Linked DNA regions of Arabidopsis thaliana. The protein of the gene in region 2 interacts with the protein of the main gene of each other region in a pairwise test. Each region holds a gene or a part of one and is shown on either strand. Other genes may lie near its edges.

Region 1 (3,712 bases), on a different chromosome or scaffold from region 2:
AGCAGCAACCCAGACGATTGAAATCCTGATTAATGTCTAAGGGACGGAACAAATTAGATATGAAAAGCCTCTCTGAATTTCTTTTAATTATAAACGGTGCGTTTTGTGTTTCAATTTAAAACAACACATTTATATTTTCACTATTGGGTTGGGCCTAATTAGGTGCTCCAACTTTTAGTTTTTTTTTCTGACTTTTTTTTTTTCCGTCAGTTTTTTTTTTCTGACTAGAGTTATAAATAATCATAGTTGCATGAAAGTACAGTATTTTGTTGCAATTTTTAGATGACAATTGAAAATTGTCCCAATGAACTTACTTTTTTACACATTTTATTAAGTAGATATAACTATAGTCTGGCTACAATGATAGTTGCATGAAAGAACAGTATTTTGTTGGACTTTTAAGATATATGCAAGATATTTTTGTATGCGTTGAAAATAATTCACATAAAAAACTCGTAGAATGAGTAAGCTCATGTTAATATTATTAAAAGAAAACAAAAGTCTAATGTATAGTTTAATATGTTATGCTTTAAAATATACAAATCTATAAAAATAATGGAACACAAGAAGATGATAACCCATACAAACTCAAACACGTTATTGGCTTTGCTATTTTATACGCCAAGCAAACTTGTCTGATAGAAATTGGCTTTGTGAGTTGTGACGCACAATGGACTAGTAGTATCGTGATAAGTACATCTACCACACGAAACGAAACGAAACCAGAAAGACATGTTCCTAAATTACCAAACAACCCCTTCGTCTCTTACATACACCATTTCTCGATGATCAAGAAGCAAATTCATGAATCCGTAAGCCACACAATAATAATATTAATAATCATTCACTAATATATAAATTAAAAGATGAAAAAAAAACGTAAAAAAAAAAATTGAGGTTCAGATTTTGATTTGAGGAGAGGAATAATCTCTCTGATCTTCTTTTACAACACATCACCAAATCAAATCCATGTCTCTCCGACCAATCTCTCTTCCGATCGGAGCTTTTGAACCACCACAAGTTTTTCAACGGTTGAGATCGAATTTTTAATTTTTTAAACTTTGACCATTTTCGCAGCCTTGACCACCGGATTTTCTCTAGCGATCGCCTCACGACCAGCGGTTTTGTAGTCGTAGCTACAATCATGACGATCGGAGTAACGGTGCTCTGAGCAGAAAAGCTCACCGCATCGGCACCTGAATCCGGTCAACCCAACTTTCTTCCGACAACCAGAACATCGGTTTACGATCTGTTGATCTCTCTTCTTCACCGCATCGATCTCTCTTGGACGAATCACGACTTTAGCTGGTGACGAACGAAGATTGACAGATCTAGCCGATCTCTTCAAGATCGAACCTGATTCAACAACACCTGCGGCCGCCGAGACGAGAGATGCGTTGAAACATTTCTGACACATGTTGTTCGTCGCAGGATTCGCTGTAACGCCGCAGTTATTGGTACATAACGTCGTTGTTGTTGTCGTCAAGGTTTCGAGAACTTTGAACTCGGTCTCTTCCTTCTCCGTTCTCTGAGCCATCGTCTTATTGAATCTCCCTGCTCCTCCGGCGAGTTTACGGATCGATTATGAGGAGAGAGAGATAGAGAGGTAGAGAGAGGTAAGAATGGAATATGGGCCTCATAGAGAGACGCGTTTCCATCTCTCTTATCATCTCTCCTTCCACCATCCCCACTTTCTCGTCTTCTGGTGGATTTACGTTAATACCCTCATCGCTTTTTTGGAATTACCAGAGAGGATTAAATATGCATTTCAATGATTCTAGAATGGCTTATGACGCCATACAGCGGACAACAACATGTTTCTCTTTCTCACATTTTTGCTTTTTTGGGTGTATTTTCTGATTTTTCTTTGAGTATACTCTAATTTATTAGTATCATGACTTTTATAAACTGAGATATCAAAGAAGGGTGAGGAAAATCGCTGGAATATGGGCCAACTTGTTTATTTATGTTTCTCTCCCAACAAAAAAATCACCAAAGAAAAGTAATACCATAATCATATATATATCTAGAGGTGTTATTGTGTTAACTAGTTTCGAACACCTGTATGTTTATGTTTGGTTCGACTTCGGACATGTTAGATTTTTATTTTTTACTTTAGGGAAAAACAAAAAGAAAGAGATTTTGGGGGTTAAAACTGTCACACAAAAAAAACGACCTGTGAGGTTGTAAAGCTACGCGTACAACATGTCAACATGCCAATTTGCAGACTTTATTTTTTTTCCATGTTTTTGCGTTAATCAGTAGTATTTTATTTGCTCTTTGGCTTGGAGGTTGAAGCTTTAATGGTCTTATTTTCCTGACCATATTCAACAAGACAACAACCCAGAAGGTGGATTGTATTTCGCGAAATGTTTCTACTTTTTTCTTATATAGATAATGGGATGATGAATTAAAATTGAAATTAATCTCTACAGCATGTAAGAAAATTCGAATATTTTAGTCATTTGATTTTGATAAGTCAAATGAACTAACCATAATTCAACTAGCAGTGGAAAACTTCAAATTTGTTCCTTCAATCAATCGGCTGATGAATCATCAGTATCATTGGACAAAACTAGGAATTGGTGATCAGGTGATACTTTTGATATTTGCATATATTTGATTTCATTCAGATTATGGAAAATGTAAATAAAAATCTATTTATTATAGTAATATTTTAATAAAATTAGTAATCTTGAAAAATGGAGAAACGTAGCTAACTATGGGAGAAAAAGCTGCCTAAAACGTCGGGTTGTTTCTGAGGTCAATGCCTAAACAGCTAAACTCGAAAACCAAATGACAACAAAAAAGCATCAAAAAAAAAAGAAAAAAAAAAAGAGAGAAAAATAAGAGAAATCGAACCCCCAAATAAGGAATTCTGACAGAGTCGCCTGCTAGATTTGTTTTCTTTCTCTCTCGTCATCTCTCTTCCTCTCTGTAATCCCAACCGGAGTTACGATTCCTTCTTATCGTAACTCCTGCTTCCGATCTCGATCCAATTTTCACTTTTGTTTTGTCCGAACGGTAAATCATTTCGCGGCTTTTTTTTTTTAAGGTAATTGATCTCGATCCTTGAAGAAAATTCGTAATTGTATATGCGCGACAAATGTGTATTGATGCATTCGTATTGGTGTATTGTTTAGGGAAGGAGGAATAAGCAAATTTTGATTTGATTCCGTTTTTTTGGGGGTGTTAGTGATCTTTTAGATGAAGTAAAGAAATTTTGATTATTGAGGGGATTATGTGAGTTATGGTATCATCGGCAACTATATTGCGGATGGTAGCACCATGTTGGAGGCGACCTTCTGTTAAAGGAGATCATTCTACTAGAGACGCTAATGGTCGATGTGATGGTCTTCTTTGGTATAAAGATTCTGGTAACCATGTTGCTGGAGAGTTCTCTATGTCTGTTATTCAAGCTAATAATCTTCTCGAAGATCATAGCAAGCTTGAGTCTGGACCTGTTAGTATGTTTGATTCTGGTCCTCAAGCTACTTTTGTTGGTGTTTATGATGGTCATGGTGGTCCTGAAGCTGCCCGTTTCGTTAATAAACACCTCTTCGACAACATCAGGAGTACGTTGTTTCCTTCTTTTTTGTTATATTTGATATGTGTGTGTTTGGGACTATCTATGTTCTAAGTTGGTGACATTTTCTGATTGCAGAGTTTACATCAGAGAATCATGGAATGTCTGCCAATGTTATAACTAAAG
Region 2 (3,936 bases):
AAGTATCTTTCTAACACCATCAAAAACACCATCATCCCAAGAAGCTCCTCCATTACCACCTCTTGCTTGTAGCTTCTTGGTAGTAGATGGAGTAGTCGAAGTTGTCGATGGAGCGAAATAGGCACCAAGAGCATAAAGAACATCACTAGCTTTCCCATGGAATCCGGCAAGTTTTCCTCCGTTACCATCTTTAAGTTCGAATTTCTTCTCAGTCACCATTCCAAAAGGCGGTGAGGTTGTACCCTTACTAGTCTTGAACACAAGAGCAGTGACGATTTCGCTGTTATAACCAAAGACTTTGTCGACAGAAACTTCAATTGATGTGATGTAATCATCTGAATCAACCTCAAACTCCTCTGTTCCTAACAATGTCATTTTCCCATGGTCTCTTGTTTCTCTTTTCCCATCTTTCTCATATTCGAATTTGACATAAGCTACACCGGACTCACCTTGACCAACATAAACCTTTCTTACATGATCAAAAACACCATCGTCGAATGTTTCTCCACCATTTCCTCCTTGAGCTTCCACTTTGTTGGGAGTAGTAGTCAAGGAGGAAGAGATGGGTGCAAAATACGCCCCAACAGAATTGAGATGAGAATCAGCAAACCCATGAAAGCTAATGATCTTGTTGTCATTAACTTGAAGTGAAAATTGTGTACCATCTCCCAAAAATTCATATCCAAAGTACTGGGAAGTGTGTTTGTTGGATTTAAACTGAATTCCTTGAATGATATTGGTAGAGTCGTACCAACCCTCCATGGAAATAAGATACTCGGCTGGATGGCTAATCTCAATCTGTCAAAATAGAAAAAAAATGTCAATAGTTTATTAAGGATGGACAACCGGTTTGTTTTAGGTTTCATTGAAACAGAAACAAAAACAATGCTTTCGGTTTGGAATAAGTTCAGGGTAAAAACTGAAAAATAGAGTTAATGATTATAGGGGAAAATGCCAAAAACAATACTAAAATCTTTTAAAAACCAGCAAAAAAATATACTGAGATTCCACATTAAAAAATTGAATACCCAACGTTTAAAAAATAAAATCAAAGTTATATCTTAAACTAGCGGTTAAGTGTGTTAGAGATAGACGATTAAGACGGTTACGAATCTCACTAATTATCAGCTTTCATTATAGTGGATCTATTTCTAGTGAAACCATATTTCACTAATATGGCTTTGGTTTCGATTAAACTATAGATTCGGTTCTTTCAGTTAAACATATATTTTTACTACTCTTAGCTAGAATACACATTAACTTGGTATAGTAGCATTAAAGAGAGAGAAAGAAAAAAAAGACAACATACCGTAGAAATAGTACTTCTACCCTTCACACCATGAAAAGATCCTTCCTTTGGTTGTCCGTTCTTTACATAATCGAATCTGATTTGTTCAATTCCAAGACCACCAGCTGCTACGTATATCTTCGTCACACCATCGTGTTCGGCTCCATCATCCCATTCTTTGCCTTCTTTTCCTCCTTGTGCTTCTAATTTTTGGGGTCCTCCGGTCGACATCTTTCAGAGTTTTTTCTTCTGAAATTATAAAAGCTATTACTTTTTACTACTAGTATACTCCTGTAAATGCATTTTTTTGATATGATATATTGAATGCATAATACTAAAGAAAACTCGAAAACCAGAAAAAGAAGAGAGACAAAGAGTAACCTGATCAGTACAGCGAGGATGAGAGTTACTTGCGAGGTTGTGGATTGCGGAGGCGAATGGTGTGATATTTATTAGAGTATTTATAATAAATGACTATAGATTTGAAAAGAATGTACAAACTAACCTTGAGTTACAGTATCTTGTCGGAAACATGCTGGAGAACACGTGTAATTACGTAAATGTCCTTTGTAACATGTTATTTTCCGAAATACATGCGATAACATAATATCCTCTTTTTATTTTGTTATTTTCTCTTATTACATAGTATTTATAAAAAACACATGGTATTTTTTGGAAAAAACATTCTATTCAGTTTAATATCTCTTTTTATCATGATATTTTGTAGTAATACACGTTTTTTTATTAAGATCACACGTGATTTCCTTAAAAATATATTCTTATTTTTTAGTAATATATGGTTTTTATTAAAATCACATGTAATTTTTTTTTTTTAAAGATTCTGTTCATGTAAAAGAATTTCATAATAATATTTTTTCTTAAAAATTCATAACGTTTTTTGAAATAACATGTTTTTAAACTAAATATAACATGTGAAATTTTAATGTTACATGCTATTTTGAAAAATTACACAGATGTGTTTCGTTTACTGTTCATCTTACAACAAATGAAGGGTAGCTTTGTTATTTCTTTTCTTCCGACAACGTAGGTCCATGGTTATTTTGTAACAAAAAACTTTCTCTCTGCTAGTTTCTTAATTTATATGTTTTATTTGGTTATCTACTAATATTACCCTATTTATTAAGCTATTTTTCGGGATAAGTTTTTTTTTTCTTTATTTTGTTATGTTTTTGGAGATAAATTTACGTTAATGTTATTATAACTTATTTGTCAAAAACATTATCTCGCGTTTACAATTTGTTCTCATATAAGTTTTAATGTTTTGTTTTGAATATTTTTATAAACAGTTTGTCATTGTGACAATGATAGGGGTTGTAACGATCGAAAACGGTTACATTTGTAGTAAAATGCTTTCCACGTTGTGAAAAAAAGAAGAGAAAAGGCCAAGCAACCAATGAATTTGTTACACCAAACAAAATATGACAAAAATCTATGTGCACCTAACGATAATATGCCATCAAACTTTCTGTATGACTGACTATATAAGTCTATATTTTTCTTAATAAAAGTAAATCTCAATTATTTTAATTTTATCAATATTTTAGTTATTGTCAAATGGATCAATTAGATAGATACCAAATTGTTAGATCAAATAAGATAATTAATTTTACAGAAAATGTTTAGATAAATATAGAAATTTTATTATTAGTTAAAAGTAAGACTTCTCAATTGGAGTGTTATCTAGAGTAAACATTGTGTTATTATATAGTTTAAAATTATGTCATTAAGAAATAAACTACCTTTTTCATACAAATAAACAAATTCATTTTAATATACATAATTCCATATATGATCATATCATTATTTTGATATATCAACAGCTACAGTTAACAATTACTATATATAGTACTAACCATCGCAGTGGCTACACAAGAAAAAGCTATAACTTTAAAATAAAAATAAAAAGGGAAAAATTTGCTAGCTACACGAAATATAAGAGAATGCATGATCACATATGTCAACTATACTATTATATAGTCACCTACATGAAGTAGATGTATTTCACGGTTACATGTCTAAACCATAAAGCGGCCATTATGCGCCTATTCACATGTATTTTCTTGAAACGATTAGAATTTTGTAAAGACGTACGGCTCTAGGAGACTGGGAACAATAGTAGAAATTCTTGACGCGATTAACCTCTGGATGATTTTCTCCCCTAATGTGATGAAGTTGCTCTAAAAATGGCAATTCGGCTCCTATGACGATTGTTCCGTCGAAGATTCCAACTTGGTGAGGCAAGATCCTTTCATATTTGGTCACGAGGGAGCCATCGTGTGGTGAGTGGTTTTGGTAGTGTTTGTTCTCTGGTGTGAGTAGGGTGGCTACTTCTTCAGGCAAAGTTCTCGGAGAGCAACTCAGGGCTTTGGAGCTCCGGTGGCTCGGTCTTTTTCGAGTAGAGACTCGTTAGATCTTAGCCAAGTTCCATCGAATGCGGACACCACTAATCACATAAGGCGCAATAATTTATTATCTCCCTTGACCTAATTTTAGTTTGGTTTGTCTGTGGGAAAAGTTTTTAATAAAGATTTATTTTCACTCTTATCATAGAAAATTGTAAAATTGAAGTTTTATTATAAAATATAGATCGAAAATATTTTAAATGACATATTGAAATTAGTTTTGGA

What was found.
Region 1: the proteins of MBP1 (region 2) and SAP5 interact in a two-hybrid assay, tested with the Arabidopsis thaliana proteins (one study listed by BioGRID).

Annotation. Positions count from the first base shown.
Region 1 is NC_003074.8:4,010,532-4,014,243, reverse strand, and holds SAP5 (A20/AN1-like zinc finger family protein), read right to left. Parts: upstream 1,637-3,712; 5' UTR 1,538-1,636; coding exon 1,055-1,537; 3' UTR 661-1,054; downstream 1-660. Other genes in the region: AT3G12620 (Protein phosphatase 2C family protein), read left to right, coding at 3,251-3,575, 3,665-3,712. UniProt on the Arabidopsis thaliana protein: May be involved in environmental stress response.
Region 2 is NC_003070.9:19,351,060-19,354,995, forward strand, and holds the start of MBP1 (myrosinase-binding protein 1), read right to left. Parts: upstream 1,733-3,936; 5' UTR 1,670-1,732; intron 1,538-1,669; 5' UTR 1,520-1,537; coding exon 1,310-1,519; intron 799-1,309; coding exon 1-798.